Linked DNA regions of Arabidopsis thaliana. The protein of the gene in region 1 interacts with the protein of each later gene in a pairwise test. Each region holds a gene or a part of one and is shown on either strand. Other genes may lie near its edges. The genes, in order: EXO84B and SEC15B.

Region 1 (7,071 bases):
CCCTTTGAGCTTCTTCTACATTGCACCCAGCTTCCTGCAGTAACAAAGTAAAGCGGTTGCTAATTAGCATCTAAGAAAGAAATTAACATGAATACTGCAAATAACAAGATTTTCCGAATACTAAAATAGTGGATCAAGAAGAAAGTGGTGAGAAGAAATTTTTTTTTTGAACTGTTACAAAGACAGGAACAAAGTACATTTGTAGTTTCAGACGTAGTCAGCGAAAAACTATTTCGTAAGCAGTTGTTAAGATTATATTACAAATGAAGGTATAAACAAATATGTAAAACCAGAGACATAATATGAGGTGATAGTAAGACATACCACATATAGTTTGTACAATATTGATTCCACATCTTCACCAACATAACCTGCCTGGACAAGAAGAGTAGTTTAGTTATGCTAAGAGCAAGACTTGTGTTAAGATTCCTCTAAAAAGCAAGAAAAACATCATCACTTCATTCAAAATATTTTTCGAAATGAGGGATTGTAAGGCATCCATCCTAGTGGGCCTAATGCTTCCCTAATGTACAACATACTAATGTTCTGAGTACCCAAACCTTAAGAGGGATAAGTGAAACAACTTGCCTGAGTTAGTGAAGTCGCATCAGCAATAGCGAATGGCACATTGACAATACGCGCCAAAGTTTTTGCCAGTAAAGTCTTTCCTGTTCTTATAACCAAGCAAGAAACATAAAGGCCAAGATCATTATCATACTAAACAGTATCTCCAAATACTCTCCAAAACAATATGGCAAGCAACAATATGCACCTGAACCAGTAGGACCAAGCAACAACACATTACTCTTATCCAACTCCACGTGATCAATATTATCATCCTCCATATCAATGTTATATGATTCTGAAGCAGACCTGTTATTAAAAAAAGAGCAAAAGAATCGAGCTTTGTTGTATCCCATATAAAGTATCAGAATGATAAGAGCATGGAAGAAGACAAACCCTTTTTTCCTAGAAGCATGATATATTCTTTTGTAATGATTATAAACAGCCACAGAAAGAACCTGCACAAAAGGAAAGATATGTAAACAAGAATCTAATTTAGACACAAAGAAGAAGAAGCTAGGGACCGAAACCAAACCTTCTTAGCCTTCTCTTGACCAATGACAAACTCATCAAGCCCTTGACAAATTTCCTTAGGAGTTGGAAGCTTAATCACAGATTGCTTCTCTTTATCACCACCATTACTTTCATCCTCCTCCTCATCAGCATCCTCACCATCTTCATCGCTTCTAAGACCTTGAATTTTCCAATTCCTAGGGAAAGATTTCTGATCATCATCATCATCATCATGGTCATCATCAGTTCCTTTAACTTTCCCGAGTTCAATAAAACTCCCTTGTAAAGGAGAGAGCTTGAATGGTCTAAAGTAAAAAGCTGTTTTGCATTGAGAACAGAAATTAACAGCTTGATAGATCCCTGGTTCTCTTGCTGTTAGAGACAATGGACGATTTGAGAAGATGACGTGCATCTGAGCAGAGCAACGAGGACAATTGACGTCACTTCTGATGTGATCATAATCATCTCCGCCGCCACCTCCGCCGCCGCCGCTGCAGGAGTCCCAAATACGGCGGGAGAAGGAAGAGGAAGGGATTAGGGTGTTGGAAGAAGGGCGTAGAAGAGGGATGTGAGGAGGAGAATCAACGGAGAGAAGGAATCTGAAACTGCGAGAGAGAAGAGATGATGATGTTATTGTCTTCCTCGAGACAAATCTGGAAATGGATAAGCTACAAAACATCTCTCTCTGTTGTCTCGATGATATGATTCTTCAAAGGTTTTTGCTCAGATTTACATTAACGGCAATCTTAAAGTAAGCATTCTTTAAAACGGCGTCGGTTTAGCTCAAGTGATGGCAGAGGTGAAGGATAAAGGAAAGCCTCCGTGCAAATGAGAGGGTTTCTGTTTTGCCGTTTACTAGTAAAAAATCCAGTAAAAAAAACCCAGAGTCGTTATTTTATTTATTAGTTTTCAACAAGAAAATTCGTTTGTTTAAGCAGACGAAAAAGCCAAGCTACCGTCGTTGGCTAAATCGCTCTGGTTGCCAACTCGATCATCATCTTCTTCTACCCACTTTCTCTATCTGCTCTCCGTATCTAGGAGCTCCCTCAGATCTGTGCTTAATTCTCCGGTAACATTACCGGCATCACTGGGATTGCTGATCTGGAACCGCTGTGAAATTTTAGGTTTTCTCTGAGAAGACAGGCAAGTTTAACGATGGCGGCGAAGACGGCCAGATCAAAAGCTACGCCGACGAAGGAAAATGGTGTCAGAGTCGAGGAAGGATTGAGTCTGTTCAAGTCTGATAAGTTCGATGCTGATGCTTATGTGCAATCCAAATGTTCTATCAACGAGAAGGTTTTTTTCTGTTCTTTTATCATTTCGTGTTCTTATTCTCGTTGATTTGTTGTTATCACGAGTGAGAATTTTCTAGGACTGAGTCTGTGGGGACTTGTTCGTAGATTTGGGATTGTATCATCGCAGTGTTCTTGTTTTGTTGCATTTCGTTTTAGCTGTAGGAAATCGTAATTGTGGAATGGATATTAGGTAGCAGCAGATTTTATACGCTCGAGAAGATGATGAGCAATGTAACAATACTCATTGCTTGTATGGTTGTTCTTGTGATCTTCTGGAGTTTGAAGGCAGTTTGTGAATTATGATTATGTAAAAATGTTACTCTTAAGAAATGCTGATAGGTTTAGTACCCATTTATAAGCTTTTAGCTTGCCAAATGATGTGTTCAGTGTAATACAGAATGTAGCTCATGTGAATATACATGGATGACTATGTCTTGTATCAGAGACAGAATCTGTTGTTCTCGTTTTCTGTTACAGAAAAGATTCAATTCGGTTATGGTATTGGGTATAAAGGGTGTCTCGTCTGTGTAGTCACTTTCTGTGATGGTGTGAGAGAGCTGAGGGAAAAGTTAGTTTAGGCCTTCTAGAGTTTACTACAAAAAGAGTAGTGTTTGATTTGGTTAACATAGATTGTTGGATTACTTGGCTGGACTCTTTGTTTTTTCTCAGTTATTTTGGGATGATGACATATTTCTGTTCGGTTCACAGGATATAAAGCAGTTATGCTCGTATCTATTGGATTTGAAGAGAGCATCTGCTGAAGAAATGCGGCGAAGTGTTTATGCTAATTATCCAGCCTTTATACGGTTAGCTGATATCCTGTCTGTTTTTAGTGCTTGGTTATTTTCTTTGAAGTTGATGTGATAATAAAGCTCTACTTTTTCAAGTTATTTCATTTCTTGTGGGTATTGGTGCATTTGCGTTTTGCATATGACTTCTTTTTCCTCGCACTACCTTATTGTTTTTTCTTGGCGGTGTGTTATTTTGAAAATTAAACTTTTTTCTGTTCTGTGCAGCACATCTAAAGAGATATCAGATCTTGAGGGGGAGCTATCATCTATCAGAAATCTTCTCTCCACTCAGGCGACTCTAATCCATGGCTTAGCAGATGGAGTTAACATTGATGACGATAAAGTTTCTGATGAATCTCTTGCGAATGGTTTATTGAATTTTGAGGACAACGGCCTCTCTGATCTGGAGAAATGGGCTACGGAATTTCCTGACCACCTTGATGCTTTATTAGCTGAAAGAAGGGTGGATGAAGCTCTGGCAGCTTTTGATGAGGGAGAAATTTTAGTATCTCAAGCAAACGAAAAGCATACTTTAAGCTCTTCTGTACTTTCATCTCTTCAGTTTGCTATTGCCGAACGCAAGCAAAAATTAGCTGACCAACTTGCCAAGGCTGCTTGTCAACCTTCAACTCGAGGTGGGGAACTTCGGTCAGCCATAGCAGCTCTCAAAAGGCTTGGCGATGGTCCTCGAGCCCATACTGTACTTCTTGATGCCCATTTCCAGAGATATCAATACAACATGCAAAGTCTTCGTCCTTCTAGCACCTCATATGGAGGGGCGTACACTGCTGCACTTTCTCAGCTTGTGTTCTCAGCTATCTCTCAAGCTTCTAGTGACTCATTGGGAATCTTTGGGAAAGAGCCAGCATATAGTTCTGAACTTGTGACTTGGGCTACTAAGCAAACAGAGGCGTTTTCCCTTCTTGTTAAAAGGCATGCATTAGCTTCTTCTGCAGCAGCGGGAGGACTAAGAGCTGCCGCAGAGTGTGCACAGATAGCTCTTGGGCATTGTTCTTTGTTGGAAGCTCGTGGTTTGTCCCTTTGCCCAGTGCTTTTAAAGCACTTTAAGCCTATTGTGGAACAGGCATTGGAGGCAAATCTTAAGCGAATTGAAGAAAACACTGCAGCTATGGCTGCTGCAGATGATTGGGTACTGACAAGTCCTCCTGCTGGTAGTCGTCATGCTAGTACAGCATTTCAGAATAAGCTTACATCCAGTGCCCACCGGTTTAATCTCATGGTCCAGGTAGACTATCTTGACAAACACTTTTCTCCGAAATTTTCAGCCTTTTTCTAAAGTTGTGCTAGAAAAATAAAGTGCTTAGGAAATGCAGACATGCCTAGAAAAATGAAATATTTTTCACTCTTAGACGTCTGGTGTGTCTCTTAGATATGCCAGTATCCCATGAAAATTGCTTATAATATGAGTTTACACATCAGCTGTAAAATTGACTAGCCATCGTTGATGACGATTGATTAGAACTTGCACTCGCGTTCCCACTGAAAAGTTATTATAAACTCTAGGCAGTACCAATTCTGTCTTAGCTGCTCTGATAGGCAGAGGATTCCCAAGTGGACTGTCATGAACTTTGGATGTATTTGTCAAGTAGATCCTTTTGATAATGGTATTTTGTTGCAGGACTTCTTTGAGGACGTAGGACCTCTGCTAAGTATGCAATTGGGAAGTAAAGCTCTGGAAGGTCTGTTTCGGGTGTTTAACTCATATGTAGATGTGCTGGTAAGAGCACTTCCTGGTTCGATAGAAGAAGAAGATCCAAATTTTGAAAGTTCATGTAATAAGATTGTCCAAATGGCTGAGACGGAGGCAAACCAACTTGCATTACTCGCAAATGCATCATTGCTAGCGGATGAATTACTTCCACGTGCTGCCATGAAACTCTCTCTTGATCAGACTGGTCAGAGGACAGACGACCTAAGGAGACCTTTGGACAGACAAAATCGTAATCCTGAACAACGAGAATGGAAGAGGCGTTTACTTAGTACTGTTGACAAGTTAAAAGATGCGTTTTGTCGCCAGCATGCCTTGGATCTCATTTTTACTGAGGAAGGAGATAGCCATCTGTCTGCGGATATGTACGTAAACATAGATGAAAATGGCGAGGATGTGGACTTCTTTCCATCTCTGATATTCCAGGTAGTTGTTGTTTCATTTCCATCAGTCCAGTTAGCCTTTATGAAGTACTGTACCCAGATGTGTAGTCACTTGGGAACTCTTATCGGCAGATTGGATACTGTAGAGTTGAATCCATGTTTGTCATAGTCTACTGTCCACTTCAAGAACATGATTTTTTTCTGTCTTTTTTAGCTTAATATTCTTATACTTTGGGTGTTGCGTCGTTGGAAAACAGGAACTTTTTGCCAAACTTAACAGGATGGCAAGTCTAGCAGCAGATATGTTTGTAGGAAGAGAAAGATTCGCCATATCTTTGTTGATGCGATTAACAGAGACTGTGATCTTATGGCTTTCTGGAGACCAGAGCTTTTGGGATGACATTGAGGAAGGTCCTCGACCTTTGGGACCTCTTGGCCTACGGCAGGTTTGTACACTCATTCTTGCTTCTGTATATGTATATTCAGCGAGCATCGAAATTGTTGTGTACCTTTGTTAACAAACAACCTGCATCTGTCACAGCTGTATTTGGACATGAAGTTTGTCATATGCTTTGCATCCCAAGGTCGCTACCTATCGAGGAATTTGCACAGGGGAACTAATGAGATAATATCTAAAGCCTTAGCAGCTTTCACCGCAACAGGGATAGATCCATATAGGTACATCGGTTTTGAGGGTGTTTTGCAATGTTTTAGCCTTTATGGTAAGTATAAATGATTAAAATGTGGTTGTGAATGATGTGCAGTGAGCTGCCAGAAGACGATTGGTTCAATGACATATGTGTGGATGCGATGGAAAGATTGAGTGGCAAGACAAAGGGCAACAACGGGGATGTCCACAGTCCGACTGCTTCAGTGTCAGCTCAGTCTGTTTCATCAGCGAGATCTCATGGCAGCTATTGAAACCAAACCCATCTTACATTTGTTAAGAAGGTGAATGGTCAATAACTTTTGATCTTCTCTTTTCAGCTCTGCTTTTCCAAAAGCTTTCTATTTTGTAGAGTCTCCAGTTGTTGATGAGATGATTTTGGGGGCGTGTAAATGTTGTTGAGTTGACATGTTTGTTTTCTTGTATTGGTCCTCTCTCTCTCTCAATGGATGCATTCTTTGGGTTAAAATATTGAAGAGAGTGTTGATCTTTCTTCTCTATGATACACTCTCTTTCTGTTTTGGTATTGGATCAGATGTAGCAAACTTGAATGAGATATCTTACGATTCACTTTTTGTATTTCCTACTCGAATCATGTAGTTCATAGCGTAAATTAGTTTTAAGTAAATCGTGTTGTGTAAACTCCTAGTCTAATTCTTGGTACGGTGGGTCGGATCTTGGGATGTACAAAAGTTTGAATAATGGGTAAGGACGGTTACCTACCACATGGACCCTTAAAGGCTTGGTAATTTGGCCACGCATGCCCGATAAGGCAATAATCATTCGCGAATGAGGCTTAGAGATGCTAGAGTCATCCCTCGCCATTGATGCAAACACCTCCTTTGCTTCTCTACATGTTTGAGATTCATGTTTTGACAGATGACAAACAAAAGTAGGTGGTGATACTCAGGCTGTGAATGGTAACCAAAACCGTATCGCAACAGTGCTGTAACAGTATCAAAATCTTTACATATACATATGTATCTATGTATTTTCGTTCCTATTTGAACCGCACCGCACTTCTTCCGCACCGCAAAACGCAGTCACCATTCGGAGCCTCAGAATGTATAAAACATGGCAAGGAAGATGTGATGTTGATAGCTCTATGGTAGATTTCAGGTAATGACTT
Region 2 (5,247 bases), on another chromosome or scaffold:
AATCATACACATACATTAATCAATTTATTAATTAACTAATCAATACTCATAAGCCAATCATAAGAGAAGGGCATTTTTTATTCAGTACAACACAAGGCCCAACAGATTCAAGAAGAAAATAAAAGCCCATTATTACAATCAAACCCACAACCACACTGAGGACTCTCTTCAAAATTAGCAGCCGGAAAACTCGCCGACGCGATTCCGACGGAGAAGTCGAGATCGGCGCCGTCAAGAGACACTTCAGCAATATTAACCCAGAAGAAAAGAACCTTAACACTAACTCCTTTCAGATTCTTGACATGACCGGGTGATATAACGCCGGAGATAGTTGATTTGTACTTGAGCTGGTAGGATTGGATGGTGAATTCACACGTGTCATTGAAGTAGACTTTGAAGTTGCCTGTTTTTGGGTTAAGCTCATAGTCAACCACTCCTTTTGGGAGGATTCCTGGTGGTAAGTTATAGAGTTTGACGGCGTCGTAAGCGGTTGGCTTTTGGCCGGAGACGGCGAAAGAGACAGTGAAGAATAGAAAGAAGACGATAGAACAAGTATTCGCGTCTAGCGACATGGTTCTTTACTTCTTTAAGTTTTGCTCTTATGATTCGTGTCTAATTTAGCATAAGCTTTGAAGTGTCTCATTAAGTACAGAAGACGAAAACAGTTGTTAGGTGTTTGTGTGTTCTGGACTGTCTGATGAAGAGACCATGCAAATTAGATGTACGGTGACGATTTGATTGACAGAGAGAGCACACGTGTTAATAGGGAAAAACGACGATCACGTGGTAACCAAACCAACCTTGATTGAAATAAAGAAACTCAGCCAAGTTTGCATTCCACTGGACTGATTTTACTATTTCATGATCGTAACTAAAACCGTACTAAGGATCCGATTGATGACTTAATGCGGTAAAAAGCTACGGCATAGTGAAAGGCTGCAGTGACATGAACTTTGCAATTCAAAATCAAACTATTGAACTCATTAACGAAAATGCTATTAATGGAAGAAGAAAAAAAAAAAAAAACAATATTGGGGTGAAATCAGTTTTAGTGTTTTTTTTTTTGCCTTTCTTTTTGAGAGACCAACGAATCATCAACAATGAAATACAAAGCAATCATATAATTAACACAAAGGACGGGATCGTACTTACGTTTTGGGTTTGTGCTGGGATCCATCATCAGCTCACATCTTTCAATCTCTTTATCAACGCATCTAAAGATTTGTTCTTCGGGTTTTGCCTCGACCCTCTTGTTCCAAAAGTCCCGAAAATACTATCTGATGGATCTCTGAATTTCTCTGAAACCGTGGCTACTTTCCGGTAATCCAAAGCATTGTAGCTTCTTTCTCTGATCACCGGGTTTACAAAATTCTCAGGATGACTACTCAGAAGTAAATTGATCATCTGTCTTATCTCGACAAACGCTTTTTTCATCTCTCTTGCTTCTTTATCCGTGAGCAATGGAGTTAGGTTCTCTGTAAACGAGTCCAACAACTGAATATCCACATCAAGTCCTTTGATTGCAGCCATGCTCAATCTTTTTACTAGATCCCCGCATAACGTTCCAACGATTTTCTCAGAAATGTGAGCAAGGACATCACGCAAAACCCTTTTCAAGACTTTAGCGGGTAAGATCTGTTGTGCGGTGGAAACCAAAGTTTCCAAGTAGATCAACACTTCGTTCATGTACTCATTCCCACCTTGTGGTATATCGTCGCTTGTCCAATTGACATTCTCGAGTAATGTCATGAAACCATCTATCTTCTTCTTAAGCATTCCTGAGAGTGTATCTTCTGCAGTGTTTTGAGATTTCGTCAATGGGAAATGCCTCCTACCTCTCTCCGCCATTCTCAAAGGAACTCCTGAAAGATGTGCAGCGTGACGGAAGAAGAAATCGCAAGCTCGTTCAAATACGGCCATGTTTGCTGCAACTTGCATTGCCTGAGAAACTCCATGAACCGACGTGCTAATCAGCTTCAACAGAGCCTCATCGAGAACCTCGCCTAGAAGCCTATCCAGATACTTCTTCACTACATCATAGAAATCAAGCTGACCTCCGTGAGACATGAAACTAACCGAATCCTCGATAAAAGACCTCACAATCCGGCAACAATCTGGGACGGTGGTCGAAAATGGAGCAATGAAAGGGAATGCCGGTACTATTTCTGATGTTTGTAACTGGAAAGAGAGCACATTCATGGAATACTCATATTCTTTCTTCATCAACATCTGCTCAAACTTATCTGCTGATAAAGCTTCTGTGATCTGTTTACGGCAATCAGATAGTAACAACTCATGATACTTGTCCCTGTGCTTGCTTAATACTTCGAGAAGGGAATCAACAGCATAGCCATACCTGCGTAGACTCACCCCCAACAAGCTCACATAATCCTTAATCAGTAAGAGATGATTAGCCGTCTGCATTCTAGAGAACTGATCCTCCAACACAGCACACATCTTAGTAACAGCAGTATCCCACAAAGTCTCCACTTCCAGCTTCGAAATCAACCCTCCTCCAGTCCTTAAAACTCTATCCTCTACTATGAAAAACCCAGCAATCTGTGCGAAAAACGTCTGATGTGACTCGAGAAACGGAGTCATAGTAGATACCTGGAAGTCAGAGGTAAGCTGAAGATCCCTATTGTTATAATAGTACTGCTTAAAAGTATCCCCAAGAGATAGTGTCTGATGAATGTGATAAGCTCTATAAAGTGGTGTCAAATCAAAACCTAGCAATCCACCTCCGGAACTACCACCATCGCTGCCTTCATGGCCAGAACCAAATTCATCATCCTCTTCTTCGTTTAGCGCATAAACGCAATCGCGTAGACTAAGTCTACTCTGCTCCTCCGCTTGTCTCTGCTTGATCCTGAGCTCCTCCTCTCGCTGACGAGCCGCGGAAGCTTCACCAATAGCCAACTGACCTAAATTCCGACTCACCACACGGATCTCAACCAACCAATCTCCAAACTCCTTATTCACTTTCCTCTCCACATAAGATCGAATCGCCGGAATCCTATTCTCAAGCATCCGTTTCAGCGTTGACGAAGGAGTTTTCTCCATGAAATCACTCTCAATCGAGTCCACACATTTCAACGCCATGTAGAAATTACCGCTCTGAAGATGCTGATTAGCTCGAGAGACAAGTTCCATAACACGAACACAATGAGTCACCGCTCCAATCGCCAGATCGACGTTCTTAGACACAGTCTGAGCCTCAACAAGCGAATCGAGAGACGAAAGAAGCGGCGCCGCAACAGATTGGAGTTTAGAGTTTGAATCGGAAAGCGCAGATTTAAGCGATTCAACATCTGAGAGAAGCGATTTAAGATCGTCTACGGCGTGGATAAAGTCTTGATAGTGAGCTTTACATACCTCTTCGATCTCTGATTCCTTAGATCGTGCGAAAAACTTGAGATGGTGAAGAAGAGTCTCTGGTTTCCCTGTACCGAAAGTTTTCCGAACAAATGGTCCTAAATCTTCACCGTTACAAATGGCAGACGATATCAAGAGCTCGTCGAGCTTCTCCGCCGAATCTATACCGGCTCCGGCGGTTGTGGAGCCAACTTTCCGCCGTCCTTTCGACGATTGCATTGTTTTATCTCCGATTAGGTATAAAGCGTTACAGCGAAGAAGAAGGAGGAATTTTGGATTTGGGACAACGAAACTGATTTGGTGGTTTTTTCTTCAAAGGGAGCTCGAATTTTGGGGTTTGACTAAAATGACATTGCTGTAGAAGCGGTGCGACGGAAGAAGACGAGGGTGTGTTTGTCTTTTCAAGCTGCGTAGTGGTTTTTTCTTCTGACTGGCGTCTTCAATTAATTGTGAATATTTGTCAAACTGAGTTTTACGCGTCACAGGCGCGTGGTCGAACGCGCTTTAGATTTTGTTGAAAATATCCACTGCCAAAAAATTAATACACCAATTCTGTTGACAAAAAAAAAACATTGGTATTATATATTTTATTGAATTTATTCAGTTGGTAGGTATAAATGTCCTTAGTAGATTTATAATTTTTGATAAAATTGTACATATATTTCAGTTTTTTGATATTAATTTCACCTAAAAAAAATCATCTATGCTTAATTGAAGTTTTCTAGAAACCATAGGAATTCAACATTTTGAAAATTAATTTGGACATAAGAAAAGTTTAAGGATATATTGAACTGGAGATGGCCAACATTTGAGAAATTATTTGTTCTATTATTATATTTTGCTAAATTATTAAACAAGCACAATACACAGATAGCATCCTTGAAAACATTACATAGTAGGGCTCTAAGACAGTAAGTAACCCTGATCAAGCTTAATCAACCTTGAATTTGACATTGTGCAGACGGAGAACTACTACAAGGATGCGGTTTCGCGGGTTCTGAATTTCTTGAAGAAGCCATAGATATGGTCAGTGACCTCGTCAGGCTTCTCTTGATGGAGGAAGTGACCTACACCTTCCATTACCACCACTTCTTGTAGAAAAGGTACGTGCTTCTTCAAACCACCTTCATGTATGTATTCCTTTGTTCCGGGGATATTGTATGTTATGTCTAGATCACCCACTATGAATTTCACAGGGACTTTGATTTGTAGACCGGTCCATGGAGCTGTTAGTTCCCAGCTTCTGCAGGTTAGGATAAGACCAGATTGATTCAAGTCCAAGATTAACCATGAAAAGATGATTGTATGATGTAGAATAGGTGGCTAGAATTCATAAGACTTACAGGTTCAGGGCGCGATAGTAGTTTAGCCCACCGGTGAAGCCTTTTTGGCTAAACTTGTCTCCGTAGAACCTGACATCTTGTTCGGTGAGCCAAGCGGGCAAAGAAGGTGGATCAGGTAAACCTCTGAAACCAACTGACTTTGGAATGCAAGGTGGACGTGGGTTACGCGAAGTGAAAAATCTGGTTATTAACTTTTTTGTATCAACTTGAGCAAAGTCCTCTTCGATCTCTCCAGGCTCCTGAGAAAAAAGAAACTCAAAATCTTTAGTAGGACCAACTTAAGCAATTGAAGACCACAAGACTGATCCAACTACATTTACTTAAAGCAAGTAACTCAAATAAAGTAAATGACTTTGACTTTGACTGCACTATATTAAAGTAAGCACTAATTGCCTTTTTCTAATCATCAATAGCAACTTGCATTATCAGAGTCAGAGCCTGAGCTAAGTTCAGCTATGTATAGGTAGGTGGCTGGTCTCTGTTTCTATAGACACAAACAGAAACTAATAGTGGCTAAGAAATTTCTCAT

The links.
Region 2: the proteins of EXO84B (region 1) and SEC15B interact in a two-hybrid assay, tested with the Arabidopsis thaliana proteins (one study listed by BioGRID).

What each region holds. Positions count from the first base shown.
Region 1 is NC_003076.8:20,249,928-20,256,998, reverse strand, and holds EXO84B (exocyst complex component 84B), read left to right. Parts: upstream 1-1,959; 5' UTR 1,960-2,232; coding exon 2,233-2,373; intron 2,374-2,534; coding exon 2,535-2,649; intron 2,650-2,849; coding exon 2,850-2,920; intron 2,921-3,080; coding exon 3,081-3,178; intron 3,179-3,388; coding exon 3,389-4,409; intron 4,410-4,802; coding exon 4,803-5,318; intron 5,319-5,532; coding exon 5,533-5,721; intron 5,722-5,816; coding exon 5,817-5,953; intron 5,954-6,039; coding exon 6,040-6,196; 3' UTR 6,197-6,513; downstream 6,514-7,071. Other genes in the region: AT5G49840 (ATP-dependent Clp protease), read right to left, coding at 1-34, 325-375, 589-668, 773-873, 961-1,022, 1,100-1,756. UniProt on the Arabidopsis thaliana protein: Component of the exocyst complex involved in the docking of exocytic vesicles with fusion sites on the plasma membrane during regulated or polarized secretion. Involved in polarized cell growth and organ morphogenesis.
Region 2 is NC_003075.7:1,036,504-1,041,750, reverse strand, and holds SEC15B (exocyst complex component sec15B), read right to left. Parts: upstream 3,638-5,247; 5' UTR 3,595-3,637; coding exon 2,611-3,594; intron 2,560-2,610; coding exon 1,180-2,559; 3' UTR 1,153-1,179; exon of another isoform or gene 977-1,152; intron 937-976; 3' UTR 687-936; downstream 1-686. Other genes in the region: AT4G02360 (transmembrane protein, putative (Protein of unknown function, DUF538)), read right to left, coding at 108-572; AT4G02340 (alpha/beta-Hydrolases superfamily protein), read right to left, coding at 4,348-4,618, 4,719-4,957. UniProt on the Arabidopsis thaliana protein: Component of the exocyst complex involved in the docking of exocytic vesicles with fusion sites on the plasma membrane during regulated or polarized secretion. Involved in polarized cell growth and organ morphogenesis.